Linked DNA regions of Macaca mulatta. The protein of the gene in region 2 interacts with the protein of the main gene of each other region in a biochemical or structural test. Links are inferred from orthologs where the notes say so. Each region holds a gene or a part of one and is shown on either strand. Other genes may lie near its edges. The genes, in order: NR2C1, HDAC4, CAMK2D, UBE2I, ESR1, PPARG and NACC1.

The links.
Region 1: the proteins of HDAC4 (region 2) and NR2C1 form a complex in vitro, tested with the Homo sapiens proteins (2 studies listed by BioGRID). The link is inferred for Macaca mulatta from reciprocal best matches to the Homo sapiens genes HDAC4 and NR2C1.
Region 3: of the proteins of HDAC4 (region 2) and CAMK2D, one has a biochemical effect on the other in vitro, tested with the Homo sapiens proteins (2 studies listed by BioGRID, with this or other methods). The link is inferred for Macaca mulatta from reciprocal best matches to the Homo sapiens genes HDAC4 and CAMK2D.
Region 4: of the proteins of HDAC4 (region 2) and UBE2I, one has a biochemical effect on the other in vitro, tested with the Homo sapiens proteins (3 studies listed by BioGRID). The link is inferred for Macaca mulatta from reciprocal best matches to the Homo sapiens genes HDAC4 and UBE2I.
Region 5: the proteins of HDAC4 (region 2) and ESR1 form a complex in vitro, tested with the Homo sapiens proteins (2 studies listed by BioGRID). The link is inferred for Macaca mulatta from reciprocal best matches to the Homo sapiens genes HDAC4 and ESR1.
Region 6: the proteins of HDAC4 (region 2) and PPARG form a complex in vitro, tested with the Homo sapiens proteins (2 studies listed by BioGRID). The link is inferred for Macaca mulatta from reciprocal best matches to the Homo sapiens genes HDAC4 and PPARG.
Region 7: the proteins of HDAC4 (region 2) and NACC1 form a complex in vitro, tested with the Homo sapiens proteins (2 studies listed by BioGRID). The link is inferred for Macaca mulatta from reciprocal best matches to the Homo sapiens genes HDAC4 and NACC1.

What each region holds. Positions count from the first base shown.
Region 1 is NC_133416.1:102,391,272-102,395,145, forward strand, and holds part of NR2C1 (nuclear receptor subfamily 2 group C member 1), read right to left. Parts: intron 3,588-3,874; coding exon 3,506-3,587; intron 2,103-3,505; coding exon 1,923-2,102; intron 907-1,922; coding exon 759-906; intron 672-758; coding exon 581-671; intron 1-580. UniProt on the Homo sapiens protein: Orphan nuclear receptor. Binds the IR7 element in the promoter of its own gene in an autoregulatory negative feedback mechanism. Primarily repressor of a broad range of genes.
Region 2 is NC_133417.1:144,358,164-144,362,037, forward strand, and holds part of HDAC4 (histone deacetylase 4), read right to left. Parts: intron 1,000-3,874; coding exon 813-999; intron 1-812. UniProt on the Homo sapiens protein: Responsible for the deacetylation of lysine residues on the N-terminal part of the core histones (H2A, H2B, H3 and H4).
Region 3 is NC_133410.1:123,024,523-123,028,921, forward strand, and holds the start of CAMK2D (calcium/calmodulin-dependent protein kinase type II subunit delta), read right to left. Parts: upstream 3,007-4,399; 5' UTR 2,307-3,006; coding exon 2,242-2,306; intron 647-2,241; coding exon 552-646; intron 1-551. UniProt on the Homo sapiens protein: Calcium/calmodulin-dependent protein kinase involved in the regulation of Ca(2+) homeostatis and excitation-contraction coupling (ECC) in heart by targeting ion channels, transporters and accessory proteins involved in Ca(2+) influx into the myocyte, Ca(2+) release from the sarcoplasmic reticulum (SR), SR Ca(2+) uptake and Na(+) and K(+) channel transport.
Region 4 is NC_133425.1:2,512,030-2,516,703, reverse strand, and holds the start of UBE2I (SUMO-conjugating enzyme UBC9), read right to left. Parts: upstream 2,817-4,674; 5' UTR 2,647-2,816; intron 1,282-2,646; 5' UTR 1,271-1,281; coding exon 1,205-1,270; intron 1,013-1,204; coding exon 929-1,012; intron 1-928. UniProt on the Homo sapiens protein: Accepts the ubiquitin-like proteins SUMO1, SUMO2, SUMO3, SUMO4 and SUMO1P1/SUMO5 from the UBLE1A-UBLE1B E1 complex and catalyzes their covalent attachment to other proteins with the help of an E3 ligase such as RANBP2, CBX4 and ZNF451.
Region 5 is NC_133409.1:70,539,295-70,543,168, forward strand, and holds part of ESR1 (estrogen receptor), read left to right. Parts: exon of another isoform or gene 1-131; intron 132-2,138; 5' UTR 2,139-2,208; coding exon 2,209-2,660; intron 2,661-3,874.
Region 6 is NC_133407.1:151,164,796-151,169,442, reverse strand, and holds the start of PPARG (peroxisome proliferator-activated receptor gamma), read right to left. Parts: upstream 2,953-4,647; 5' UTR 2,929-2,952; coding exon 2,847-2,928; intron 1-2,846. UniProt on the Homo sapiens protein: Nuclear receptor that binds peroxisome proliferators such as hypolipidemic drugs and fatty acids.
Region 7 is NC_133424.1:13,685,807-13,690,391, reverse strand, and holds the start of NACC1 (nucleus accumbens-associated protein 1), read right to left. Parts: upstream 2,946-4,585; 5' UTR 2,797-2,945; intron 1,743-2,796; 5' UTR 1,604-1,742; intron 1,337-1,603; exon of another isoform or gene 1,281-1,336; intron 1-1,280. Other genes in the region: TRMT1 (tRNA (guanine(26)-N(2))-dimethyltransferase), read left to right, coding at 3,327-3,586, 3,680-3,735, 3,965-4,107, 4,267-4,454. UniProt on the Homo sapiens protein: Functions as a transcriptional repressor. Seems to function as a transcriptional corepressor in neuronal cells through recruitment of HDAC3 and HDAC4. Contributes to tumor progression, and tumor cell proliferation and survival.

The DNA.
Region 1 (3,874 bases), on a different chromosome or scaffold from region 2:
TTTACACCTATAAATGTCTTTTACTGAGGACTCGTATTTCAAGATGAGGGAAGAGTATGTGTTTGTTGCTTTCATGTTGAAGTGATAATCATCCTAGTGAAATTAGGAACATTTCTGATTTTTTGTTTTTTTGTTTTTTTTTTGAGACAGAATTTCACTCTTGTTGCCCAGGCTGGAGTGCAGTGGTGCCATCTTGGCTCACCGCAACCTCCACCTACCGGGTTCAAGCGATTCTCCTGCCTCAGCCTCCCGAGTAGCTGGGATTACAGGCATGTGCCACCACACCCAGTTAATTTTTCTATTTTTAGTGGAGACGAGGTTTCTCCATGTTAGTCAGGCTGGTCTTGAACTCCTGACCTCAAGCGATCCACGTGCCTTGGCCTCCCAAAGTGCTGGGATTACAGGTGTGAGCCACCGTGCCCGGCTGAACATTTCTAATTTACGTTAAAAAAAAAAAAAAAAGGCATCTTGTAATGTGGAATATTTAAGAACAAAGCAATTTACCAAAGCAAAGGAAGCGATTAGGAAAACATTTTAAAATGCTTAAAAATATCTAAGCTTTAAATTGTACTAAACACACCTTATCTGATGTCATCAGCACAGTTGACTCAGTTTTTACTCCAGATGGATGAATATTCACGAACATTCCTGAATCTAAAAGTCCTGTTGACCTGTAACAAATAAGCACACATTTTGGCCTGAGTTTCATTGGGAAGAAAAACAAAATGACCAGCTACTCAGTGTCTGTTTTACTTTACCTTGTAGTTTCACTATCTGTTACAAAAGTTGGAGTTGCAGTTAATGGGCTACGAAGGTCCTTTCGGATATAGATTTTTTCTGTTGAAGCGGCACAGTTGGAAGATTTTTCTCGTGATACTTCAATGGGTTTTCTTTCACATTGGACAGCTACAAAAATGTGTTAAACTATTATATCACAATATAGGATTTACAGACAATTATAAATGTAAGCTGTAGGTAAGCTTAATGCTGCTAATAGGAGACATGGCTACCATACTAAACTCCAAAGATAACCATCAATTTTTAGAAATTATGTGCGAGTTCAACAAAGTTGCTTTAGATTAGTAAAACTAACCAATTTGCATCTCTCATTCTTTTTTCTCTCCCTGCTCCCCCATTCCTGTGATAAAAATGAAAAGGAACTCTTTTTTAAAAGTTCACCATCAAGAAGAAAGAACTAAAGTTAGTAGTCACTTACCTATCTATATGAGAGCTTTAAACAAAATGAAGTGAAATTTAATCCATTGAAAAAATACTGAAAGGAACAAAAAGGCCTAAGGTAGATCTTTTATTAATGAAGGGCAAGAGATTTTTGAGAAGTAATTCAACTACTTGGTCTTCCTTTCTAAAATATAATACATAGTATTTGTAAGAATTTTATCTCATAACACTTAGGAGATAGTACAGTAAGGTTGTTAAACTGCCAGGATTCAAAGCCAGCTTATGCCACTTACATTAGTTGTATGACCTTGAGCAGGTTTCTCAACCTGTTTACCCAAATGTAAAATGGGTAACCTGGTACCTACTGCAGAGAATTGCTGTGAGAGTAAGTTAATACATATGCTAAGTGCAGTGTCTAGCATAGTGCGAGCTCAATCAATACTAGGTATTGTCATTATCTTACTAATCACCTTTTAGTAGTTTAATCCAAAAGTAAACTGGTATCTTAAGCTAGTTAAACTTGCTGCCAAACTACAAATACGTGCTTTTTACACAGGTATTCAATAAATATTAGTGGAAAAAATAAAAAATACATACGTATGTCTGTATTCTTATATTTTTAGTTGGAAAACTGTAAACTAAAAAGTATACATATTTGACCTATTTTAATTTGTTAATTTCAATACTCTTCTAGTTTGCTGGAATCTTTAAAAAGTATTTTCTCCTTAAAAGCTAATACATACAGTCTTGCTTCATTCCAAACGCAATACATCTCTGTAACCTGCAGTATTGACAGCGGTTTCGGTGGTGCTTATTAATAATACAATCCTTTGATCCTCGACATGAATATACTAAATTTTTTCGGATGCTTCTTTTAAAAAATCCTTTGCAGCCTTCACAAGTTACTGCTCCATAATGACGTCCTAGAGATAAAATGTTTAAGAAAACATAAAAGTCACATTATTTCAGAACAGACATGAAATAAGCCAATTTCTTCCCTTTAAACAACATGAGGTGAAACTGATTTTTGAGCTTCTGACATAAAAAACAGTTTTAGAAGTTATTTTTATTTATTTATTATAATTTTTTTAGAGACAGGATCTCACTCTGTGGCCCAGGCTGAAGTGCAATGGTGCAATCACAGTTCACTGCCGTCTCGAACTACTGGACTCAAGTGATATCCCCAAGTAGGTGGAACTACAGGCTTGTGCCACCACAACTGACCAGTTTTGTTATTTTTTTTTTTTGTAGAGACAGTCTTGCCATCTTGCCCAGGTTAGTCTTGAACTCCTGGCCTCAAGCGATCCTCCTGCCTCCACTCCCAAAGTGCTGGGATTACAGGCATGAGCCATCTCACCTGGCCTAATGTAATATATTAGTAAAGATCAGAAGTCATCATTTTTAAATGATTCCTTGGCCAAAATTTCTAGTTTTCACATTAAAACATTTTTCCACAGCTGGGCATGGTGGTTCATGCCTGTAATCCCAGCACTTTGGGAGGCCACGGCAGGTGGATCACTTGAGGTCAGGAGTTCGAGATCTGTCTGGCCAACATGGTGAAAGCCCATCTCCACTAAAAATACAAAAATTAGCTGGGCGTGGTGGCACACACCTGTCGTCCCAGCTACCCAGAAGGCCAAGGCAGGAAAATTGCTTGAACCCAGGAGGGAGAAGTTGCAGTGAGCCAAGATTGCACCACTGCATTCCAGTCAGGACAACACAGCAAGACTCCATCTCAAAAAAAAAAAAAATTTTTTTTTTACATATTCACTTTCAAAAGTGAAATATGCATTTTATTTCATTACAAATCAAATTAAACTGCACTGAAGTAAAAAAATATATAAGTGAATAAAGAGCTTTGGAACCAGGCATGGTGGCTCACACCTGTAATTCCAGCACTTTGAGAGGCCAAGGAGGGGAGGGTGGATCACCTGAGGTCAGGAGTTTGAGACGAGCCTGGCCAACATGGTGAAACCCCATCTCTAACAAAAATACAAAAATTAGCCGTGTGTGCTGGCACACACCTGTAGCCCCAGCTACTTGGGAGGCCGAGGCAGGAGAATTGCTTGAATCCAGGAGGCAGAGGCTGCAGTGAGCTGAGATCATGCCACTGCATTCCAGCCAGAGCAACAGTGAGACTATCACAAAAAAAAGAACTTCGGGAAAAAATTAGTTAAATTTTATAGGCTACAAATATTAACAATAAAAGTGACATACTTTAAGTAGAAGAAACATGGTAGTGTGGTAGTTATTTCAACAACACAACACATATAGGAGGTTATTTTTTTTTCTTTTTTTATTTTCAGGAGGTTATTCTTAATGTTACCTGATGCTTTGTCTCCACACACTACGCAAAGATCAAAAACCTTATTTGGTCCCTGGTCTGGAGAAGAATTATCTGTTAGGAGCTAAAAAAACAAAACAAAACAAAACAAAAACCTGTTGTTACTCAGTAGCACTCATTCTATTAAAAAAATTAAAGAACATTCAGTTGGTCTTGCTTTGTTGCTTTCTTTTTCACAAGTTATTTTTAAACTTTGTACTCTATGAAGAGCTCAGAACCTTTCCATGTGGAATGACGTGACAAAAATAAGCTTGTAATAGCATGAAGAGATAACTCTGAACCTTTTAAATAGAAAAGGGGCTATAAATAAATTTCCTTGAGGTAATTATAATCATGCAGATGTGGTTGCTA
Region 2 (3,874 bases):
ACAAGAAATATTAGATCAAAACAATATGAAGAGCTCTCCTGCCTCCGTGCTTGTCTCAGAGGCAAGCCCTGCCAGAAGCCAGCCCTCCTTCCCGCCTCTCCCCTGCAGGGGTGGCTGGGCGGCGGGGCGGCCCGGGACAGCAGTCTCCTCCCTGACTCCAGGCAGCTCCAGGCAGACAAGTCCAGGGCCCAGCCCCGCCTGCCTCCTCAGCCATGGTGGACACCTCGCTTGCTTCCTGACTTCTGGTGGGGTACCGTGCAGGGAAAACCAAGGACCCCTGCCGGCAGGTCACCTCCCTGGGGTGAGGATGGTACGAGGGATGGCACAGACAGATGTGTGGCTCCCGCAGCATGTCCCAGGGGTCCCGGGCTCTGCTCTCGTGTAATCATGGCCCCCCACCAGCCATTCACAGTCCTGCCACTGGAGCCTCAGAGTCAACGCTGTGGACGTGGGTGAAGTATGAGAGAGTAAGTGGAGAAGTGTGGGCTCGTGATTCCTAAGCCGGACCAGAAGCTGTAGGCTCTCATGGCCCCACGGGCATGGGCTGTGGACTGTTCTTGGAGGAGACCATGGGTCTCTGGGACAGGAAAGGTGGGCAAGTGAGCCCATGACAGGCCCCCAGAATAACAGAACTGAGGGTGTAGGGCGTGGGGCAGGGAGAGGGCCTCCATGAGAGGCCTGTGTGGTTCCCGCCCTCGTGCCTGCCCAGCCCCTCAGCCTCTGCAGAGCTGGGCCCGGAGTACCCCCCGCCCCGGTCTGTGCCCACTGTGGCCCGCGTCACATCCTCAGGCTGCACAAAGGCCATCTGTTACCTGTCGTGAACCTCGGCTTGGTGGGGGGCTCCTGCACAGACACGGGAAAGGTGGCAGATGCCGGTGAGGACTGCGCCCGGGACAGAGGCCTGTGACTGCCGAAGGACACGGGGATGCCGGCAGCCTCCATGGACGCCTGGTAGTTCCTCAGCTGGTGGATCCGCTGCTGCTCCAGCAGGAGGGCTTGCTGCGGGGAAGAAACGGCCATGTTGGCGGCTGCAGGCACCTCCCACGGCTGGGCTGCAGGGCTAGGGGCTGCCCTCTCTTGCAAGTCTCCCATCCATGCACAGGCCATACACGGGCCACAAGGATGCTGGGAGGCCAGCTGCGTGGAGAGGCCTTCCCTGTGAGTGCCCTGAAGCCTGAGTGGGCCCAGAGCCGAGAATGAGGCCAGCACGGGCTCTGTCTCCCAGGATGTGGCTCTTTCTAGGGAAAGCAGGTTGTCCACATGGGATCCCGCCATGGGCTTTATCAACAGGATAACACAGGCTGAGTCACGGGGTCCCAGGGAGGCCTAGACAGTATGGGGTATCAACGAGGGCTTCTCTGAGGAGGTACTGAGCCAGGAGCAGCCTGGACCAGGTGCAGGGGAGTGGGGCCTGGCAGGTGTGGAGAGAGGCTCTTGCTGGGGCGGCAGCCTGGCCCTCGCTGGTTCCACTGGGAGATATGCGAAGGCCATGCAGATGTGGGGACCAGAGTACCCACTCTGCCACACCACACACGGGGACCAAAGCACTCACTCTGCCACACCACACACGTACAGTGGGTGGGCATGAAGCCTCGCCCCCTTGTTGGGTTTGTGGGTCTTAGTTTTGACCAACAGCACTGAATCTGCACACTAAACTTGGGTGAGAAAGCACCCTTGATTCTCAGACTTGGAAGTGCTAGCTCGGCTTCATTTGCAGCCGCTCCCCTCCCTGGTCTCACATTCCACACATCCTCATGCAGGCTAAAAGCAGAAACAGCCCATCAGCTTCCAGGCACCCAGGACCCTTGGAGCCTGGAGCAGGCCTGCTGGTGGGGATGTGCCTCTCTGATGAGATGGGGCTGGGCTGGGCTCTGTGTAGGGAGGCCACTTAGTCAGGGGCCTGGGACACCCCAAGGGATTCTGGGAACAGGCTGAGGTGCACACCCTCATACGAGGCAGAGTGGAGTGGAGGAAGCAGGGCAGAGATGAGGCCACAGCTGCCTAGCCTCTCCCCAGACAGCAGCTGAGGGAGAGCACAGCGACCTGCCACCCAAGCCGAGGCACAAAGAAAGCCGGGCGCCTCCTCGCTGGGAGCTCTGCGCCAATCCTGTCTTAGTTTTGATGAACAAATCCTGTGAACGTGGAAAACCAGGTACCTACATCTCAGCTCCTGTATGAGAGGCGGAGTCCAGCCCTGTGCTGCCAGCACTGGGGGAAGCCAGAGCTGCCTGGCCAGGCTCTGATCTGTCCTGTCTTTAGGAATCAGGCCAGGTGGCTCACGCCTGTAATCCCAGCACTTTGGGAGGCCAAGGTGGGTAGATCACCTGAAGTAAGGAGTTCGAGACCAGCCTGGCCAAAATGGTGAAACCTTGTCTTTACCAAAAAAAAAAAAAAAAAAATTAGCCAGGCATGATGGCAGGTGCCTGTAGTCCCAGCTACTCGGGAGGCTGAGGGGGAAGAATCACTTGAACCCAGAAGGTGGAGGCTGCAGTGAGCCAAGATGGCACCACTGCACTCTAGCCTGGGCAACAGAGTGAGACTACGTCTCAAAAAAAGAAAAAAAAAAGAGCCAGGAGGGAGCAGAGAAGAGGGGAGCCCCGAGACAGGCGGAGGAGCTGGAGCAGGAGCTGGAGTAGGAGCCAGCACCCACAGGCCCCCAGTCTGCGGCTAACCAAATTCAGCTGGGATTGCTGTGGGCCCCACGTGGTTAAGCGGTTAATAAGCAATCCTCCCGGACACCGGCTGGAAGGTGCCCCGCCTTAGGTTTACCTCGGCAAATTGCTCCGTGTACTACCAAGTTTCCCTGATAAGGAGTTCTGCCTATTACTCTCCAGAGAGAACAGAAATTGTTTCTAATCATCATCTCACGCTTGGAATATAACAAGCCTCTTTTTTCAAAGTGAACGCCGATCTATGAGAAACTAGTCCCAAAAATTATTAATGTAAATAGTTTCCCACTTCTTATCCGCATAATAACAGCACACTGAATTTCAGACCTTCATCGACTTTCAAGGCCCGACCACAGGAAGAGGCCCCAAACCCGGGCCTGTCAGACGGGACCTGTGGATGAGTGTTCACCACGAAGCACCGTGTGTGTGCCAGAGAGGCCCGGGGCTTTCTCTCTCTGTCTTTGCCAGGCTGCTGGGCTGTGTAGTGTTTAGTGCCCGGGGTGCTAATTAAGACGGCCCAGAAATTAGAGAGAGGCCGCCCTCTGAACAAAAAGGAGAAATAGCACCCAATGCCCACCGCCGGGGGAAGCTTGGTAGAGAAGGGCTCCTGGCCCAGAAGCCTCTGGAGACCACTGAGACCTGACCCCCCGTGCGGCAGGCTTGGGTCTAGGTGCTCCAGGTACAAGGCCCCACACTGATTCATTCGGTGCCAAGACCTGCAGCTGAGAATTAAAGGGAACAGTTTACTGCAGGGCGTCCTGCTCCTGGCTTCCAGGGTGCTGCTGGGGGTAGAGATGCAGCTCTGGCCACACAGCTGGCAGTCAGGAAGCTGGGGAGGTGCTCAGTGGCACGGCCAGCATGGAGTCCAGAGACAAGGGAGGGAATGATCCAGTGGCTCCTGCAGCCGAGGCAGCAGCTCTGCTGCTGGAGGACAGAATCAAATCCTACAGCTGTGGTTCCTCAGGCTCGCTTCCTGCCTATAGGGAGGAAGCCACCTTTCTGAGGACACTCTGGCTGCAGATACGGGGCTCCAGCTGGCTGCCCAAATGCCTCAGGTATTTCTGTTGACTCAGAAGTTTTATGTTTCACTGGAAATTAACCAATCATTCACTGGCCTTCTTCATCAGGCTCCTGTGCATTTGGTTACTGGGTGTCAGTGCCCTGAAGCCTTACTGGCTCTGGGTGCCACGATCGTACCCGTCTTG
Region 3 (4,399 bases), on a different chromosome or scaffold from region 2:
TAAAGGTCTGAGCTGCACACAGAAACATCAAAATAAAACTAAACTTCCTAGAATATAGCAATCATAAATTTTTTTCTTATCAAAGCTATTACTGTTAAATATACCTTGATGAATTAAGTTCAAGTGTAACTACAATTGAAATATATGATTCAACTGAGCTATGACCTATTTTCCTCCCAAAAGCAAAAGGGAATTATGACAGTTGTGAGACTTATATTTTTCCATTCCATCGTCTTTCTAAAAGTTATTTTATACTTAAACTATAAGCAAAATGCACCTGACATTTATTTGCTTTAAAATATAGTTATTCATGCTATTGCCTGTAGGACAGATAGAATTTTAATAGCAATTATCGAATAATAATTATATCTTTCCATTTATTTTTAAACTGTACAGACCAAGAAGCATTCAGGAAGAAAATAATCTCAGTATGTAATATGATACCTAAGTCTAAAATTCAGTTATAACTACATGATATTTACATACAACAGAACCTATAATCAACATGACACATACAAAATTAACCAATATATGTGGTTGAAAATACCCACCCCTAGCAGAAAGCTTTTTGGTGTTGATAATTTTGGCAGCATATTCTTGTCCAGTAGGAATTTTCATACATCTTCTCACCACTGAGAATGCCCCCCTGGAAACCAATAATTAGCAGGTCATTAATATAACAGATATAACATTCCATTAAAAAATTTATAAAATCTGAGCATTTTTATTGATTTTAGTGGATTGCCAGTGAAGTACAGTAATATCCAGTAAATGAACAATTCTTCCTGGAAACCTAGACTTTCTTTAATGTTGAAGAATAAAAGTAAATTTTATTTAACTGGGAGCACACATTATTAATCAACAAAATGAAAGGAACTGCCAATTATGACCGCTCTTGTTTGCACAAGAAATTTGAAAACATTTTACAGTTCACACTCACAGCACCAAATGCTCTGAGAAAAACCCTGCACAGAAGAGAGCAGAGGAAGAGCAGCAAAAAAATCTGCCGCCTACTTACTTTGGTAGGAAACAAAAAATTAATGTGGTTCCAAGTAAGTAAACACGGCGATTATTTTCATTAAAATATCAATCTTGAGCACATTAGTGTGGTTTAACAAATCCTGGTATGGTGATTTCTCTGTGTCTTGTTTTGGGCTGGGGGAGGGGAGAGATTTGAATTAAGCTGCTCTTCCGACATATTCTCCATGTTTTAACACCAGACAATATATACATATATAATTTTTATTACCTTCAAAAATATTTACCTTTCCTTTAATTACAGTATAAACCAACAACATACATATAAACGCACCCCTTTCATAAAAGTAACAGTCGAAACTAGTGAAAGAGGAATTGGGTTTGGGTTCAATGCTACTAAAATCAGCATTCACGGCTCGGCCCCTAGGTCCCTTTACACAAGTCCTCAGTAGATCTCCTGCCTCCTTCCCTAGCATCTCCAAATAGTTCTGCCAGTTAGGTAGAGGAGGTGGTTTTACACAATGCTAGGCTACTCTTAAGAGCGCGCTCAGTCTCCAGAGGGCTTTTCCGCTGCCTGTATAAATAAATCCTCCCAGAGAACGCAAAGATGCACACGTAAATCCTAGGAAGAATGATGGTGAGCGGTAATCTGGTGCAAAGAATAACAGTGGATATAGGGCAAGGGGTTGGGTTCTGTTGGGTGGCCCTTTTCCTGGACAGAACAACTACTGGATGCGAAATAGTCTCCATGCCAAGTTGAACTTTCGGCATCAATAAATATGGCACCGTCTGAGGCTGTGAGTTCTCCTCAGTACATGGGTCATACGGCCGACACGCCGGCTAACCAGGAGGCATCTCTATTTACAGAAAACATGATCTATGTTGCATTTTACATGGGTTCTAATTTCCTCTCCAAACACACATTACACACAGGCGCGCGCGCACACTTCTCAGGATGACAGCTACAACTGCAGAGATCGTAAATTCACTAAGTCTCTCAGTGCAGAAGGGTGGGGGACCGGGAGAAGGTGGGCTAGGGACTATCGAAATGAGCCACAGCCGGGGCAAGGGTCCTACGCCTTCTGTGTTCCCTCCCCTTACTAAGACAGCACCTTCCCCAGAGCTGACAAACCAGGGGCCCTCCTCCCACTCCTCTCGTCTCCCAAACTCCCTCGCCCCAAGACGGAGGCCGGTGGGTCTGGGGCAACGCGACCCGCCCTCAGCTGGAAAGGGGACATGAGGATGCCGGGCAAAGGCGCTTACTTTCCAAGCTCCTCGAAAAGCTGATACTCGTCCGTGAACCTGGTGCAGGTTGTGGTCGAAGCCATCCTTGGTCCGGGCTGTGCCCTGGCTGGGAGCGCGACGGACGAGAAGCGAGCAGACGCGCGGCTAACCCCGGGATTGGCCCCGCGGCGCTGTCACCCAGGGCCGCCCTTACTTTCCTGGTCCGAAAGTAGCTCGCCCGCGAGGGAGTGTGCGCAGGGGCGGGGCGGGAGGGGAGATGACCAGAAACGGTGGCGTGGGGTCTCCTCCCCACGGTCCGCCGATCCTCCTCCTCCTGCGGGCCTCGCTTCCTTCTTCTCCACTGGACGCTCCACCCGCCCCTTTTCCAGTCCCTGTCCCCAAATACAGGGGGTAAAGTATTCAAGAAGAGGGGGCCGGGAAACGGAAAAACAGCCGGGCACGGGGCGAGTGGCAAGCAGTTGCGAAACGATCCGCACTGGAGGCAGGAGGGGTAGAAGCAGAGGGGAGGGAGTCCGAGGGGGCGGAGGTGGAGTGCAGCGGGGCCGAGGCCGCGGAGCCCGGAGCGGACAGCCAGAGCCCAGCGGCAGCTGTCAGCAGGCTCAGGCGCGGAGCGCGCCCGGGGCTCGGGCGAGCGTGCGCGCCCGGGACCGGCTTCCCTCCAGCGGGCAGCAGCGGATCCGGCGAAGCGAGGCACCTTGACTGCCTCGCGCTGCTCACGAGCCCGCGCGGCTTCAAGACGGCGCAGCGAGAGAAAGAGCGCTCGGCTCGGACGAAGCCTCGTCTGCCGTCCCCAGGCCTCCGTCTCCTCCCCTGGCGCCTCCTCCCGCCGCTCCCTCCGCCAGCCAGCACCCCCTCCCTGGCGAAGCCCCCTCCTCGCTGGTCCCACACCTCCCTCTAGCGACTCCAAGTGTGTCCCTTCGTGGATCTCTCGCTATCCCTCCTTCGGTCGCACACACGAGCACACCCGTCTAGGAGAAACCAGGTGGGTGGAGGAGGATTTGCGGGGGAGAAGCCTGGAGGTTTGGGTGAATGAGGCGAGACGTCAGTTACCCATTTAAACCCGCACAGAGAAGCCTGCCTCAATCTGGGGCTGACTGAGCGGGAAGATGCAGGGCAACTCGAGGATGGCCCGGGGCTGCCGCCCTTGGTCGCGGTAGCCCACGCCCCTGTTTTGGGCGCTGGGCAGCAGTGACTTCTCCAGGCCGGCTGCCGGCCCACGACACCCGCTGTGGCCGAGCAAGGCAGAGCAACCACTTCATCTCCACGCCACTCAAAGTTGACACAGCAGGGGCCGGATGTGGGCTGTTCATTGCTCTCAGAGAAGGTCCCAACCCTTCCCACAGCCACCAGCGACTGTTGGGGCAAAACCCAACCTCAGCGGGGTTCACTGCGTCGCCAGCTCCCCAGAACCCGGCGCAGGCTGTCTCCCTCCCCCGCAGCCCCTTCTGCAAGGGGCAATGACGACCCCTGAGCCACATTTCACTTGCCACCTCCAGGCCCACCTCCCCCGCTGTTTTCCAGGATGGTGGCTGAGGCTCTGGCAATTCCCAAAGGCCTTTGCTTTGGCTATGAACGTTAAAAGAATGAAGGCAAAAACTCCACCACTCAACCACACCTTCCCTTCCCTTCTGAGTAACTCCCCTGTAACCTCAGTAAGTTCTGATAGTAAGGCGAGTTCTCGCGATATTTCCCACTCTGGCGGCCGGGGCGAGGTAGTAGGAAGGTTGGGTGTCGGTCACGCGACCCGGTGGGGGCTGACGTCATTCACATCACGTAAACGCGTCTAGCCTGTTTCGCTTTGCAAAGGGAAAAAGGAAAAGGGGAGGTCGTGTGTACTTTGCTTTCAGCCAGATAGTGGGACTTGAGTGCACTCCGTAAATGGCTATCTGAAAAACCACTTAGTGGTTCAAGAATGTGTCCTTCCCTTTAGCATATCTGCCATTGTTTTCAGTAGGAGGAAAAAAAAGTATGCATTACAATTTAAAATAGATAAATTGCTGCCGATTGCTAGAACAACTTCTGGGCCCTCTTTCCCGTTCTCTTTAATAAAACTATGCAATTGCAAATTTGACGCAGACCGAAAACAGCGTTATGGACGAGTTTTTTCAAATTACTGCCTTTTGTTCTACAGCACGGGACTATAAAAACCTTGCAATCCTATTGCTAATTTGTTCGT
Region 4 (4,674 bases), on a different chromosome or scaffold from region 2:
TGCAAGCCCCGCCCCAGATCCTGCCTGGATGAGGCGCCTTTGCCACCCCACAATCCGACACCACTCCCGTCTTCCTCGGGGCCGCACACCTGCGTCGCCGTGACGTGAAGAGCAAGGGACGTTCTCAGCAGAGCCTCAGACAAGCGACAAACCCAAGTGACACCATGTCTCAGGCAAAGCTGAGACCTGCTGGGACTGCTCAGCTCAGGGGGACCGAAGCTGCTTTGAGTTTCAGAGTGAAACCCAGAGGGTGGCATGGGCCGGAGGGAACAAGGCCTCGGGCAGGACCAGCACCTCAGGGCTCTCTCCTTCCTTCAGGGTTCACCAGCATGAACCTTATGTGCACACCAGCCTGGAGTCCCCGGCCAAGTGCTTCACGGGAGCCGGGCAAAGACGACAGGCACACAGGCCGCCCTGCTCCCCACAGACACACAGGGGGCCCCAAGCAGGCATCCTAGGCTGCTGTCGCCAGTCCCTGTGCCCCAGGAGGTTCTCCAGGAGGCGGCTTTACGCCAGGGTGGCTCTCCAGCAAACCCAGCTACCGTGACCTGAGCCACACCTGGAAGGACACAGCAGAATCCCGGGTTCCAGCCTGCAAAGGCTGCCCGCCCTCAGGCCTGCTCCCAACACACACCAGAGCCCCTCCCCTCTGCCACAGCTCAGCCCTGTGCCCAGCCTGCTTCCTTCTCAACCAGAAATGCCCTCGGTGGGGACACAGCTGTCACCCCAACCTTGCCAGCACCACCTTCTGAGCTCAAGTCCGCACGGGGCGGGGGCCAGGCCACAGCTGGGGATCTGACCTGTTGTCCGCAGCCCGTGACAAGGGCGGCCGTCACAGACGGCAGGGGCTGAGCAGTTTCCCCGTGGCGTTGCCACACGCATCTGTTGAGCCCCGACAGGCAGGAGGCTAGCAGCGCGCGCCTCTTACCCCTTTCTTTCCTGGAATGGCGCACTCCCAGTTCATGAGGTTCATCGTGCCATCGGGATTTTTTGTTGGGACAGCCACGAAACCCTGAGAGAAAACAACCACAAAAGCACATCAGTGCGGTGGCATCTCGTTTGACCAAAACCACCGAGAACCGGCCCGCGAGCCCCACCAGCGCGACCCAGGCACGCGGCCAGCTCCCTCCCAGTGGTGGGGGGCACGGTTTCAGCCCAGGGGGGCCGTCCGCGGCACTGCACACGGAAACGAAGCCCTCCTTACAAACGGGTGGTCTTTCCTCCATGCTTTCCTCTCCTGGGCGAGTCTGCTGAGGGCGATCCCCGACATGTTCAGAGTCCCTGGAACACAGGAGGCAGAGCACGGGGTCAGGACAGGCTAGCGGGCTCCTGCGGCCCCGCCACGTGCACACGGCCCGCAGTGGGCAGTCTTGCTCCTAACAGGCGCCAGCCCAGCCCAGCAGAGACTCTCCTCCTGGAAGCCGTCGTCCGACCCCGGGGTCTACCAGGGGAGGCCTCATGAGTGGATCCCAGATCACCGGGGGTGGGGGGACAGGTAGGACCCCTTCCCCATGGGCCCCCCGAGCCCTGGTCTGCGACACGTGCCGCGGCCTCTGCTCCACGGTGGAGACGGATGTTCAGAGGCTGGGCTGCTGTGGCTGGGCGGTAGCTGCCACCCTGTGGTGGCTGGCGTGGCAGGGTCCTCACTGAACCGTCAGGTGGGGACTAGGCAGGGCTGGGTCCCAGCCTTACTATCTGGGTCCCCGCCTTACTATCAGGCGCTCAGAACTGAGACTCAAGCCGGGCCAGGGGGACACCTAATATTGTTTTTTTTTTTTTTTTTGAGATGGAGTCTCACTCTGTCCCTCAGGCTGGAGTGCAGTGGCACTATCTCGGCTCATTGCAACCTCCGTTTCTTGAGTTCAAGCAATTCTCCTGCCTCAGCCTCCCGGGTAGCTGGGACTACAGGCCCCCGCCACCATGCCCGGCTAATTTTTGTATTTTTAATAGAGATGGGGTTTCACCGTGTTGAAGACAGAGTGGAACAAGTACCACAGGGCAGAGGCTCAGCCTCGCTGAAAGAGGAGCCCCCCACAGGGCCACCGTTCCCGGACCCTGCAGCCGCTAGCATGTCCCTGTGGCTTCAGGGGACAGACGGGTCCTGTGGGGCAGGGCAGGAGCATGGGGTACGGGACCAGGTCCCTGGTCAGAGGCAGCGGCACACACGCCAGATTCCAGCTCCACACTTCTCCACGGGACCTCAGGGGCTTGGCACCTTTGCCTTCTGGTTCCCAGCGGGAGCCTGTCGGCCCGCACTGTCCCCGGGGACACCAGGCAAACAGGGCCAGCAGCCTCGACACCAGCCTCACCTGTCACCCTACTGGTGGTCACCTTTACCATGAAAAACAGCACTCAGGGCACAAAACCTGCCAGAGAATTCAAGCCCAAGTGTGTGCTGGTTTTCAAAGTCCACGGGAACACTGAAGCTGCCTCCAAGTCTGGCATCTCAGCGCCAAGCAAGGGCCACCTCGACAAAGCTGGGGGTTGCGCCAGGCCTTCCAAACCGTGGGGGGCCGTCCCTACAAGGGCCCTGGTGACCTGGATGGCGCCCGCACCTGTGCAGGCCCACGAACCTCACACACCTCACAGCTGCAGGAAGGGGCCAGGTCAGCAGCTCCACCTGGGCCAGAGCCGCCGCAGCCTCACCTGGCACTTGTTAGGGAGGCAAGGCCCAGTCCCCAGCAGACTCATTGAGGAAGGAGCTCCGAGAGGCCCACATTCGGGTTTTGGGCGGCACGATGGCTTCCCGAGGCAGCAAAGCAGAAATCAGGGGTGGGGCTGGGATCAAGGAAGCCCAGGCGGGTCCAGTGTCGCCAGGGAACCAGGGTGCTGGAAGCCAGGCGGGGCTGCTAGAGCCGCCTGCCCTGCAGGTGGATTTGGCTCCTTTTTAACCAAACACGGATCCTCAGGGCAGCCTGAGAAAAATCAGGCAAAGGAACCCGGGTCCTCCAGTCAGTAGGTGCTGGCATCACAGCGAGAGGGTGACAGGGGCCATCCGGGCACTGGCCTCCAGCTACACGATTAAGTCCAAGACAGGTAGCCCCAGACTGGGCCCCACCGGGATGTCCCTCCCCATGCCCTCCTCACAGGGATGCGGAGGAGCCCGCAGGCCGCCTGCCCTCTGGACCACTTGCCCATCCCCATGCCCTTCTCTAAGTGGGGGTGGGGGGAAGCCAGGGGCCAGAAAGGGAGAAAGTGGGGGACACAGCTGGGCTCAGCTGTGGGCAGGCAGGGTTCGAGCCCAGAGTGGAGTGGAGCTCCCGCCAACCACGGTTTCAAGGCTCTCTCTGCACGTGTCTCCACCCTCCACTTCCACATGGAGCAGCTCAGTTGTGGCTTGAGGACTCACAGCTCTCGCTTCCCCAGCCCCAGGGTGGGCTTCATGAGTAGCCACAGCCTGTGCCTGGTGCGGTGCAAAGCAGCCTGGTGAACGGCCGTTTTGAGGAGCCACGACCTCCCAGGTGCCCGGGGTCTGAGCGGGGCCAGGAATCAAGCAGGTCTCTGAAGCCCCAGGCCAGTGCTCCAGACACTGAAGGACCAAGGCCAACACGATCCTCACAGCCAGGCAAGGCCAGGCCCCAGAGAGGCCAGCCCCAGAGAGGCCAGCCAGGCCTGGAACCCTGCCACAGGTAGCCCTCCTACTGAAGACCGGACAGAGCCACCTAGAGGCCCCCGTCCCAGCACCTAGCTATTGCTGTCTCAGATGTGAGAAGTCGTGAGGGTGCTCCTGTGAGACCTCCCGCCAAGGTCTGGCTGATGCTGCTGTATCCCCTGCCCCAAAGCACTCAGCACCACAGGGTGGTCTCACAGGAAACTGCACCACAGGGCAAGGAGCCACAGGTGCACACCCACCCTGTCCTAGGCAGAAGCCAGGCCCCTCCCCCTGCTCCCCCTCCTACTGGCCTCCTGGAGAAAGTGGCCAATGTGTTACAATGTAATCACAACACAGACGAAGCATTCAAAATCCCGCTGAAAATCGAATTTGCCCTTCCAAATTAACAGATAAGCACTAAGTGAATGGCTAGCAGTTACTAGACCCTTCAGAGCAGGGAACTTATATGAGGCAAAGACAAAAACAACCCTCATCTATCAGAGCCAAGCAAGGCCCAGACACTGCAGCAACCAGGACAGGGCCAAGCACTCCAGGAGTGGCCTGAAGGTCTGCCTTCTGTCCTGCTGGGCACCCGCGACCGGCTGAGCTTTAGCTTCTCGGATCACCACCTTGCTCTGCTGGTTGACAGCACCGACTTCCGAGCAACTTCCTGGCTGAGGGTGAGCAAAGCACTCACCTCTCACAACTCCACCGCACTCATCTCCACAACGGGTGGTCGCCACGACGGCTGGCACAAGAAGCCTGTAAAGGTCCTCCTGCACCCAAACGCAAACTCTCCCAGGCTTGGGGAGGTATTCCCTTCTGCAAGACCCAGGCACCTGCAGTCAGGAGACGCTCACCTGGCCGCACCTGATCTGCCCCAGGCGCCCAGAATGTTTCTGAAGCAAGATCCCGAACCCTGACACATCACACAAGCGCACACCTTCAACCACCCAGTGGTCTAGGAAAGGGACCTCTGAAGGAGCAATCAGGACAAACTCAGGTCCCGTCCTCTCTTTCGCTGCACAGCTTCTCTACCCAAACGCAATGTTTCTTGTTCTTCAAAAAACATTCGGCGTAGG
Region 5 (3,874 bases), on a different chromosome or scaffold from region 2:
CTCTCTGCCTAGTTCACACACTGAGCCACTCGCACATGCGAGCACATTCCTTCCTTCCTTCTCACTGTCTCGGCCCTTGACTTCTACAAGCCCATGGAACATTTCTGGAAAGACGTTCTTGATCCAGCAGGGTAGGCTTGTTTTGATTTCTCTCTCTGTAGCTTTAGCATTTTGAGAAAGCAACTTACCTTTCTGGCTAGTGTCTGTATCCTAGCAGGGAGATGAGGATTGCTGTTCTCCATGGGGGTACGTGTGTGTCTCCTTTTTCTTTCATGACTTGTAGGATTCTTTGTGCCATTTGCATATAATTTGGCAGGTTCAGATTTTTTAAGAGCCCTATGAAGTGCTTTTTGCGTGTGTTTTAAAAAGGCATTTGAAAATTGAAAGTGTGATTTATGGAAACTAAATCATCTGTGAAAAATTGCTTTGGAAAGTAATGATTGCTGGCCATAAAGGGAAATATCTGTGATGTACCTAATGTGTTTTTAACCCTTTAGTTGCTGACAATCTATAGTCATTAATGCTAAACTCGATTTTGGCTTCATATTAAATCAGCTAATCTGTATATTGTCCGACAATGGTCTGTTTTTGTAGGAATTAGATAAAATGTATACTTGATATAAAATATTCAAAAATGTAACTATTAGTAACAGTAAGCTTGGCATTTAGATATACCATGAACACTTTGTCAGGTACTCTGTTGGGTGTTTGGGATAGCAATTAAAATAAAGTATTGATAGTTGTACCAGAGTCTATTAGGCTGCAGCAAAGGAAGTTTATTAAAAAGTATAAACTCTCCAAGATTATAGATGCATGACATACTTTCCGTATTTTTTGTGTCCTTAATATGTATATGTATGTGTGTGTGTGTGCGTATGTGTGTGTGCATGCTTAACTTTTAATTCAGTTAAAAACTTTTTTCTATTTGTTTTTCATCTGGATATTTGATTCTGCATATCCTAGCCCAAGTGAACCGAGAAGATCGAGTTGTAGGACTAAAGAATAGACATGCAGAAATGCATTTTAAAAATCTGTTAGCTGAACCAGACCGACAATGTCACATAATTGCCAAAGCTTTGGTTTATGACCTGAGGTTATGTTGGGTATGAAAAGGTCACATTTTATATTCAGTTTTCTGAAGTTTTGGTTGCATAACTAACCTGTGGAAGGCATGAACACCCATGTGCGCCCTAACCAAAGGTTTTTCTGAATCATCCTTCACATGAGAATTCCTAATGGGACCAAGTACAGTACTGTGGTCCAACATAAACACACAAGTCCAGCTGAGAGAATCTCAGAAGGTTGTGGAAGGGGTCCACTTTGGGAGCATTTTGCAGAGGAAGAAACTGAGGTCCTGGCAGTTTGCATTCTCCTGATGGCAAAATGCAGCTCTTCCTATATGTATACCCTGAATCTCCGCCCCCCTTCCCCTCAGATGCCCCCTGTCAGTTCCCCCAGCTGCTAAATATAGCTGTCTGTGGCTGGCTGCGTATGCAACCACACACCCCATTCTATCTGCCCTATCTCGGTTACAGTGTAGTCCTCCCCAGGGTCATCCTATGTACACACTACGTATTTCTAGCCAACGAGGAGGGGGAATCAAACAGAAAGAGAGATAAACAGAGATATATTGGAGTCTGGCACGGGGCACATAAGGCAGCACATTAGAGAAAGCCGGCCCCTGGATTCGTCTTTCGCGTTTATTTTAAGCCGGTTCTTCCCTGGGCCACCTTTAGCAGATCCTCGTGCGCCCCCGCCCCCTGGCCGTGAAACTCAGCCTCTATCCAGCAGCGACGACAAGTAAAGTAAAGTTCAGGGAAGCTGCTCTTTGGGATCGCTCCAAATCGAGTTGTGCCTGGAGTGATGTTTAAGCCAATGTCAGGGCAAGGCAACAGTCCCTGGCCTTCCTCCAGCACCTTTGTAATGCATATGAGCTCGGGAGACCAGTACTTAAAGTTGGAGGCCCGGGAGCCCGGGAGCTGGCGGAGGGCGTTCGTCCCGGGACTGCACTTGCTCCCGTCGGGTCGCCAGGCTTCACCGGACCCGCAGGCTCCCGGGTCAGGGCCGGGGCCAGAGCTCGCGTCTCGGCGGGACATGCGCTGCGTCGCCTCTAACCTCGGGCTGTGCTCTTTTTCCAGGTGGCCCGCCGGCTTCTGAGCCTTCTGCCCTGCGGGGACACGGTCTGCGCCCTGCCCACGGCCACGGACCATGACCATGACCCTCCACACCAAAGCATCCGGGATGGCCCTACTGCATCAGATCCAAGGGAACGAGCTGGAGCCCCTGAACCGTCCGCAGCTCAAGATCCCCCTGGAGCGGCCCCTGGGCGAGGTGTACGTGGACAGCAGCAAGCCCGCCGTGTACAACTACCCCGAGGGCGCCGCCTACGAGTTCAACGCCGCGGCCGCCGCCAACGCGCAGGTCTACGGCCAGACTGGCCTCCCGTACGGCCCCGGGTCTGAGGCTGCGGCGTTCGGCTCCAACGGCCTGGGGGGTTTCCCCCCACTCAACAGCGTGTCTCCGAGCCCGCTGATGCTGCTGCACCCGCCGCCGCAGCTGTCGCCTTTCCTGCAGCCCCACGGCCAGCAGGTGCCCTACTACCTGGAGAACGAGCCCAGCGGCTACACGGTGCGCGAGGCCGGCCCTCCGGCATTCTACAGGTACCCGCGCCCGCGCCGCCCGTCGGGGTGGCCGCCGCGCCCGGCGAGAGGGAGGAAGGGAGGAAGGGAGGGAGGGAGAAGGGGGAGCCGAGGGAGCAGCGGGAGCCGCGGGACGCGCGACCCGAGGGTGCGCGCAGGGAGCTCGGTGCGCGCGGCCCAGCCCGGGGGTTCTGCGTGCAGCCCGCGTTGCGTTCAGAGTCAAGTTCTCTCGCCGGGCAGCTGAGAAAAACGTGCTCTCCACCCACTTAGGGTCCGTGCGACAGGCAGACCCGAAAGCCCGGGGCTTCCTAACTAAACACACGTTGGAAAACCAGACAAAGCAGCAGTTATTTGCGGGAGGAAACACCTCCAGGCAAATAAACACGAAGCGCTTTGAGTCACTCGAGAAGGTCCCGCTCTTGGCATTTAAAGTTGGGGGTGTTTGGAGTTAGCGGAGCTCGGCAGAATTTTATTTATCCTTTCAATGTTTTTGTTTAATGTGCTCCCCAAATTTCCTTTCATCTAGACTATTTGATTGGAAATATGTCGGCTATGATGATGACTTTCTGGGAAGCGATTCCTGTCACCCTCTTTCCCCTCCTCCCCACCCCACGTCCTGGGGCTTTAGAGAGCGATTGGGAGTTGAATGGGTCTGATTTCGGAGTTAGCTGGCTGAGTCCGCGCTGGAGCGGATTGCTGGCATGTGACTTCTGACAGCCGGAAATTTGTAGGTGTCCCGCGAGTTTAAAACAAGCCATATGGAAGCACGAGTGCTTAAAAATAATCTCCCGCCAGCCCAGTGGCGAGCCTGTCCCACCCGGGGAGAATGCCCCGGAGTGGCGTGCGGGTCCGCCGGGGTCTGCGCCTCGCAGCCACTGTGGAACGAGCGCGGCCGGTCCAAGACACAGGAGACCACTTCGTGACTTCAATGGCGAAGGTTGTGTGTCCTCATTTTTATTTTTTTTCCGACAAGATTTATTCTTTCTCCCTCTCCCTTTCCTCCCATTTTCCCTTGCCCAGTTTCTCCCCCCCCCCCCACCTTTTTTTTTTTCCTGATGGGCCTGCAGAGGGATTAGGTGGGCGCTTCTGGTGAACACCTGCCTAGGTGGCCACAGGACAGGTGTACTCTGGACTGGGTTTGGGAGCTTCAGGGCGCCACATGGCTGGGTGCTGAATTAGGCATTTCCTAACTGTACACTGGTATCTGGACTGGTGTCTCCATTATCTTTCTGCCT
Region 6 (4,647 bases), on a different chromosome or scaffold from region 2:
GTCCTTATATTCCCTGGTACTACATGGGTCCCTTTAAACTTCTGGAAAGGTGAAAATTTTAGTTATCTAAATGTTTCTGAATATATAGTTGCCTGGAGTAATGTAACCACAGATTAAGTATCCCTCAATAAAAATGGCATGCAATCAATCACTCACTCCTATCTCAGGAGAGACTCATTTTGACGGATTGTCTATTGCAGCATTTATCATGTCTCTAAGGCATATTTCCATTGCTCAATCAGCTCCAAAGGACAAGTGTGTCATCATCTTTCAAGGCTCTGGTGCAACAACTTAAAATTGTAGAATTCACACAGGACTAAGTCTGGCACTCAAAGCAGGAGGCATATTCAGCTTGAGCTTGTGGAAGCTTCCCTTCAATCTCGCCAATTTTTACTGGTGGAAATGGTTTCAGAGCCAGCATGAGGTTACTTGGGGTTGCTTGAGGAGCTCTTGATAAAAAAAAGAAAGGGGAGCAATATAAAGGGGTTACAGCAACGATGGAGCCTTGGAAAAAGCATGGAAGTCCTCTTTGGGCATAAAGTGTAGTGGATATTTTTAATCTCTCTTTTTTTTTTTTTTTTGAGACGGAGTCTCGCTCTGTCGCCCAGGCTGGAGTGCAGTGGCCGGATCTCGGCTCACTGCAAGCTCCGCCTCCCGGGTTTACGCCATTCTCCTGCCTCAGCCTCCCGAGTAGCTGGGACTACAGGCGCCCGCCACCTCGCCCGGCTAGTTTTTTGTATTTTTTAGTAGAGACGGGGTTTCACCATGTTAGCCAGGATGGTCTCGATCTCCTGACCTCGTGATCTGCCCGTCTCGGCCTCCCAAAGTGCTGGGATTACAGGTTTGAGCCACCGCGCCTGGCCTAATCTCTTGAATATAACCAATATACCTGGATATCTGGGTCATTCACACGAAATGTGCCACTTTTTCTTAATAGCAGTACCCAACTATTTGCAACACTCCCAATTTCACTTTGCCTATGATCAGGAAGAAGCACGTAAGAGGACTACTGTACCCAGGCCAAATACCTCATCTCCCCAGTGTTCAACACTGCTAGCCTCGGCTAATAATGATCATATATCTAATTTATTTGTAAGTCTGTCTGTTTTGGAAGAGGTGGAGCAATTATTTAAAGGTCATTTACAAATTACAGTAGGAGTAACAATCATAGGTCTTTGGCCTTTAGGAACTCACATTTTTAACAGAGAAACAGTGCTTATGAAGAAGGAGTAGCCAGAGACCCTGTAAGAAAAGGGTTAAATTATTGGTACAAAATATCATGTTTTAATTGCTAATAATTTCATTCTGTACCATGTTAATTAGGAAGAAAAGTACTGGATCATTCTTTTAGAGGAAATTGAGACTCAAAAAAATTAAACTCAGGGTAAATTCAAAGCATAAAGTTAGAGATTAGCACAGAATGAAAACTAACTTGAATCACATAACCATCCCTTACCACAAATAGTACTTGCCTCTCAGTTAACCTATTTTGTTGATATTTGTTGTACTGCATTCTAGACATGTTCTTTGAAAATAGACAAAACTATCAAATTTTGACTCAAGAACTATTTCACAGTATAGCCAGGACATTCTGCCCTGAGGCAGGGTAAATTAATAACTGAAGAAAGATAGCAACAATGTTTTTGGCTTGCAGAAAAACAGAATAACAGCACTTTAAGGAAAAAAACAAAACTCCTAGTTAAGAGGCTTAGATGATAGAAATACATGTTGAAACAAATTACTGTAATAAAATAAAACAGTATTTCAGGAAACATTTCTTACTAATTTTTAAAAAGCTTTATATTTTTAAAATGATGACTAATATGTTCAAACTTCAGGCTTCCAGGAAAACGAAAAGGTTAAAATCTATTTCAGCAATTAAGTGACTTAATTTTAATGCTTTAGCACCTATATTATAAAACATGAATCACACTAGTTAACAATCTATTTTTACATAGCATCTGAGAAGAGAAAAATAAAATGAATAGAAATAAAGACATCAATATGAGACAAAACAAAACAGAAAAAGCGGTGCTAAGAAACTCCAGTAGAAGGAGCTGTAGAAATGGAGAAATTACATTTTGCAATGGCCAAGAAAGAAATATTGAAAAGGAGGTATCTGATTCTGACACATCTGAAGAGAAGTAATAGGTAGTCACTTACAATAGGCATTTACTGTTTGAGGAACCTCATTTTCTTTATGCATAAAATATGATGCTTGGAACAGATCTTTTTCAAGGTTCCGACAATCCATTCTGCAATGTATTGGGCACTATGCTAGGAGGCATCCTCAGAAATCTAATAAAGAGCATCACTTGGTCCCATACTCTGGTAAATTACAATTCTTTGGGAGAGCTAAAGTGCCCACACAGTATCTAGATTTCAAAGTAGAACAGAAAAGAACTGAGAGTACTTCAAGAGGAACAAAAGCGCTGCAAGAGGGAAAAAAACCATTATGAGAGATCTCTAACATACAAGATGAAAAGAGGAAAAAGTGACCCTTCAAGTCTAAAAAGCCTTTATGTATTCTTGGGAAATCTATGCAAACTCAGGAAATAAAAATGAACAGGATTGTTTTTGGATATAACTATACCGTTAGTGCTTAAAATTCAGGAAATGGGAGCCATGCACAGAGATAAAATACAGATTAGGTTAGGTTTCCTTTTTTAAGGATCTGAATATGTTTTTAAGTGAATGCGATAGCAGCGAGCTAAGCATTAAAATACTGGAGTGTACACATGATAGTATTAAAACAAACATAACTTGGAAGACAAACTACAAGAGCAATTTTACCCTTACATAAATGCCCCCACGTCCCCAATAGCCATATCTGGAAGGAACTTTACCTTGTGATATGTTTGCAGACAGTGTATCAGTGAAGGAATCGCTTTCTGGGTCAATAGGAGAATCTCCCAGAGTTTCACCCATAACAGCATGGAATAGGGGTTTGCTGTAATTCACACTGATATTTTGTTTATATCTAGCAAAAGATCAATCCGTTAAAAGAAAAAGACTTGAAGTAACAGAATTTGTGAATACACCCATGAGTCAAGACATCAGTTTCCAAATATTTGGGAGAGATGGGAATAAACACAGAAAGGACTGGGCTTGAATTGGCTGGCACTGTCCTGTTAGGAGCCAGCTGTGACAAAAAGTTGTGTCATAATGTTGTTCACTGCTTTGGCAAGACTTGGTACATTACAGGGAAAATATTGCCACACTGTCTCGCCAGTGACCCACATGTTCAGTGTCTTGTGAGGGGCGTGAACTATACTGTATTTAGAATTATCAGAGCAGAGACTGTTCAATATCCACTTGCATTTTTAACTGTCGTAAAATTCACATCAATTCCTTCTTAAATGGAAAACTTCAAATCTCTTGCTTATGAAATACCAGAAAGCTTATTTGGGCAAAGTTTTCTTTCAATGTCTATTCCTGGTTGAATCTCTAATCATGTGATTTGAAGAAAATTTTGGAATTCAAATACATATCCATAGTTTAAACGTTGGTATTAGCATGCTACCGAAATGTTATATTCCTAAGGTACTTGTTCTGCTGATTTGTGAAGCCCAAAATGATATTGACTGCTATCCAAATTCTGTAAAATTAAATAGTTCAGAGAATGAAGAAGGGTTTGATATGGTTTCGATTTAAATATCGGGTTTGCTTTCTTAAAAACTTCAGCTTATCCATCAATAGCAACTACAGCAATGTTACATCAGCTGATGTTTGAACATCAATTGATGTTTAAATGATAAGTGCTATGTCATAATGAAAAAATGGAGTTCTCTGTGAGAAGAGTAACACATCACCAGAAAAAAATAGACTTACGCTGTTAGGTTGGCGAGGAATTGTGGTCGGTTTTGTAATCAGGAAAAAGCTGGCTTCTTGCTCAAGGCCTTTGCCCTTTTTGGCAAGGAGAGACACTAGCTGTGCCAAATTACTGATGTGGGAGCAGGTCTTGTCACATGAGTGGCCTACTAGAATCACAGTGACTTTGCGGACTTTCAAAGATGTCCCCACACAGGGCAGTATATGAGAAGGCAATTAATTCTCTGAATTATATTTATCCTGATATTCCCTGAGTAAAATAAATATATATCTGGTTAATCTACATTGAGTAACTATTCATTCTTCAAGGGGACTAGTAAAAGTGTCCCTGTCAATCATGGTGCAAGAGCTTGATGGGGAAATGCTGGCTGGCTCTGAACAGCACAGAATAAAGTGGGGAGTTGGGCAACTGTGCCATTAAGCCCCAAAACATCTTTATTAAAGCAATCCAAGTTAAAGCAAAACTTGGGTTTGCTAATTTGTCCAAATGACTGCAGTGATTACGGTTGTGTAAAATTAGTCTTCTCTATATTCACTTGAATTCTCAATAAAGGCACTTCTTCTTCCCTCCCCATGCTTGGAAATTTACTTATACTACAAAGTAATCCAGACACAATGGCACAATATTTAAGGATATGACTGAATTGAACTCCAGTCCTATACCAGTCTCTGTTACTCTTTGGCAACATACAGATGCAGTCTTTCCACCTGTCCTCAAAGGGAATCACTTCTGGACTCTTCACCTACTGCTACTTCTATTCTCTTTTTTCTCAGACACCATTCAACTTCTGAGTCTACTGGGTAGTGAGGCCTTCT
Region 7 (4,585 bases), on a different chromosome or scaffold from region 2:
TGCCTTTACCCCATCGGGAGCCTCCAAACCACCATTAGCAGAGTTTTACATGCTCACTCCCTCTAATTCTTCACCCCTAGGGAGGTGGCACACAGAACTCAGGCGCAAGGAGTTGGTGCCTGGGAGGCCATGGTACTAATATATATGACGGTGGCTATGAGGTCCCATCCACTAGGCTTGAACCAACAGCTTCTGGTCACAAAAGGTAGAGAAAGAACGCAGGATCCTAAAATACCCAGGTAATGTCTGCTGGGCTGCCTCCCTGTAGATATATAAGGTGGGGGTGGGCGAGGGCCACCTTGTGATAAACAAGATGCCTAAGCTAGGTGTTCCAGACTGTCTCCAGCTGCCCACACAAACACCCACTGGCCAGCGCCTTTGAACAGTTGGCAGAGGCTTGCCCAAGGGGTAGGGTCAGGACTCTAGAGGCTTCTGGGATGAGGTGTGGGAATGAGGGAACCCCTTAGATGTGACTCTGAACTAACACTTCGAGTTGGGGTCGATGCGGGGCGCATCTCAGTATATACCTGCTGGTCACACTAGCTTTTCCTGACCTGCCCCCACATCCCCCCAGCCTAGCCCAAAGGCTCTGCTCCCCCGACTCGCAAAGCTCCTACAGCAGTCCCTCGCCTTACCTAATCGCCCCCAGATCTAGCCTCCCCCTCCCCACATCTGAGTCCTGACCTCATGTGACCCCCGGAAAACATCTCTGGGATCTCCTATCCGCCCCCACCCGAACTAACTCCGCCCACACCCACCGTGCCCCACTTCCTGGGCTTCTCCTCAGCCGCCCCCAGGCCTGTAACTTGACCCACCCACCTCCTCCAGCGCCCAGGCGGTACCTGCAGGCCCGGCCCCTCCCCGCCCCCCTCCGGCCGCGCCGCTCTCCTCTCCTCCCCCACTCGGCCTGGCCAGAGCCCGACTCCTCCTCCCCCTCCCCCTCCGGCATCCACGGGCGCCTCCTCACTTTTCCGCTTCGGACCCTCTAACTTCCCTGGATCCCCGGTACCCGCCCCGGCCCGACCTGGCCCCCTCCCTCGCTGGGAGCTGGGGGAGCGGTCCAGGTACGATCCTGCCGCCCCCAAGCCCCGAGGTTCGGGCTGGACGCTCAAGTCTGCCCGCGGTAGCCGGGCCTGCACACACACGCCTGCCCGGGCACAGTGCAGGCTGCGGGCCCGGCTCCTCCTCAGTCCGAGAAAGCACCCAGGCCCTCCCCACTCAGCCCTCGGGCCGCCCCGGCTGGAGAAGGCCGGAACCGGGCCTGAGGCGGGCCGCCTCACCTGCGCCGTGGCCGCGCTCCGGGGGCTCCCGGCGGGCTCCGCAGCGGCGGCTGGGGCCGGGCCTGGGCCCGGGGCGCGCCCCCCTGCGCCGGGGCCTCGGCCTCCGCCTCCGCGGCCTCCGCGGCCTCCGCCTCAGCAGCAGCGGCAGCCGCGGCGGCCATTCATTGTGGGCCAGGCCGCCCCAGCCGAGCGCCGAGCGAGCGCAAGCCGCGCCGCCGCCGCAGCCAGGCCAGGGAGGAGCGGCACCGGCCCCGCCCGCGCACCGCCCTCAGGCCCCGCCCTCCAGGCGAGGCCAGCCGAGCTCCGAGCGCGCCCCATCTAACCGGCTCCGTCTCCTCTCTATGCCCCTGGGAGGATCCTCGCCGGTACGTCGGCTCAGCTCGGTGGTTCGAATCCCGACCCCGCCACCTTCTAGTCCCGCGACCTTGGGCAAGTCGCTCTACCTTTCCGAACTTTAGTTTCCTGTAAAACAAAAACAATAATGACTGCTGTTTATTGTAGCAGGCACCGTGTTAGGTTCTTTATGGGAATTAGCTCGTTTAAACTACACAGTAAAATTTTTTAGTGGGAACTGTTACACACTAGAGAAAATAAAGGCGGCTGGGCGCGGTGGCTCACGCCTGTACTCCCAGCACTTTGGGAGACCGAGGTGGGTGGATCGCCTGAGGTCAGGAGTTCAAAACCAGCCTGGCCAATATGGCGAAACCCTGTCTCTACTAAAAATACAAAAATTAGCCGGGCGTGATGGCAAGCGCTAGTAATCCCAGTCACTCGGGAGACTGAGGCAGGAGAATCGCTTGCACCCGGGAGGCGGTGGTTGCAGTGAGCCGAGATCATGCCACTGCATGATCCAGGGCGAGACTCCGTCTCAAAAAAAAAAAAAAAAGAAAAGAAAAGAAAGAAAGACAGAAAAGGAGGCACAAAGAAAGCTGGTCAAGATCATCACACAGCAAGGAAGTGATGGCGGGTGCCAGGATTTAAACGCAGGCTCAAAAGCGACAATAACAGCTAAGACTTTTATGATGCTTACCGGATGCTAGGTTCTGTTAGCATTTTACGTGCACTAACTCGTTTACTTCTCACTACAACCCACTAACAAATGGTAAAAAGTTCTGCCCTTTTGCAAAAGCGGTAACTTAAGTTCAGAGTTAACAACAAGTCGCAGGGCGAGCTAAGACTGGAACCCAGGTACCCGGGAACCACTTCGCTGTCCTGCCTTCGTACACTGGTTAGAACTTTACCGAGCGCTTACAAGGTCAGAGTGGCTCTTTACACACTTTCCAGGAATCTGTCATTTAATCTTTGTTCTATCTGAGAAACCACGATTCTTATTTAATAGATAAGAAAACTGAAGGCCCTAGAGTAACCGGCCCAGAGCATGTGGTGGGACTGAGATTCAAACCCAGTAAATCCAACTCCAGAGCCTGAGTTATCCCTGCAGAGTGCTCTGAAATAATGTGTATATAGCACCCAGAACACAGAAGAGGACCAATAGCTGTTGGGTTTCTCCGCTTACCGCCCCTTTTCTGAGCCACAACTTCCTCATCTGTGAAATGGGACTAGTGACGTGTCCTCTCCCAGGGGATCCACTGTGATTAAAACCCCCGGAACAGCATGATCAGCGCGCTTCCTTTATGGCATTCATTTTGATCCCGGCCGCCCACCGTCCACGTCCTCATTGATTGGCCAACCACTATCATGTGATTTCCCCCACCCACCGTGCCAACATGGCGGCGCCCAGGTCCTAATTTGGGAAACGTGCACCTTGACTAATTCGGTTTTCTGTGGCTACGAGACCAGGTGAGGAGGGGCTGGGCAGTGCGGGAAGGGATTCAGACTCAGGGCGGGCCTGCACGAGGGCATCGGCTCCGCAGGAACCAGTCATCCCCAAAACGAGGGGTTATCAGCTTACCGAGGCCGCAGGTCTTCCTAGTTTCTACTTCATAGATATGTAGGACACCCCCGGGCCCAGAATGCGGCTCTCTGACCCTCTCTGTGCCTTTCCCCGCCCCCCGAACCAGGCTTGGCGGACAGAGGCACCAGCGGATGTCTCATGCAAGGATCGTTCTGTGGCTAAGCCTCACTCTCCGCCCCACCCGTGTGCTCTGTACAGCCCGGTTTTTCGAGGGGCAGTCCCCAGGGCTGCCGAATCCAGCAGCGATGGAGAACGGCACCGGGCCCTGCGGAGAAGAATGCCCACGTGAAGTCCAGGAGACGACAATCACCGAGGGGGCTGCCAAAATCGCCTTTCCCAGCGCCAACGAGGTCTTTTATAACCCGGTGCAGGAATTCAATCGGGACCTGACGTGAGCAGGGGTCAGAGGTCAGCCTGGCATCGGCTAGTGGGTCAGTGTGGATGGCGGGGGCGGGGTATGAGCTAGTCCTCTGTCTCCCACCAGATGTGCTGTGATCACCGAGTTTGCTCGCATTCAGCTTGGGGCCAAAGGAATCCAGAGTGAGTGGAGGTCCAGGCTTCTGGCGGGCGGGGGTCACACAAGTCTTATCTCCCTGCCTGGGCCCTTCTGCCGCCCAAATCCAGAGAGGCTTCAGCCACATAGCAGGCCCTGGGTTCTGCTCCTTCAGCCTTTCCCCAGGGATTTCAGGGAAGATATTTTGGAGATTAAGGGGAGGTTTCTCAGAGAGGACTTCGTTACTCTCTGACTTGTGCCTCTGGGTGGCTGCAGTCAAGGTGCCAGGAGAGAAGGACACGCAAAAGGTGGTCGTGGACTTGTCAGAGCAAGAGGAGGAAAAGGTTGAACTGAAAGAGAATGAAGACCTGGCCTCAGGAGACCAACCTCGCACAGCGGCCGTGGGGGAAATCTGTGAGGTGGGGCCTGAGCATAGCAGCTGGCAGTCCTGGAATTTAGCGGGAGACAGAGGGCTCCTGGAGGGGGAGAGCTATAGGAGGTGGGTGGTGGGGGCTCCTTGGGGCCCAGAAGAGGATGGAGATGGAGGTGTGAGGGAGGTTTTCTGCTCACTCCAACAGGAAGGCCTGCATGTGCTGGAAGGCCTGGCAGCTTCAGGCCTACGTTCCATTCGATTTGCCCTAGAGGTGCCTGGGCTCAGATCTGTGGTTGCAAACGATACCTCTGCCCGGGCTGTGGATCTCATACGCCGGAATGTCCAGCTCAATGACGTGGCACACCTGGTACAGCCCAGCCAAGCAGATGCCCGGTAGGTTCTGGGCATCACAGCCTAGCTATGGGACAAGGCTGCCTGGGATCAAAATTCTGGCTCTCTCCTATTCTCACTCTATGACCTTGAGTGAGTGACTTAGCCTCTTTGAGCCCCAGTTTCCTTGTCTG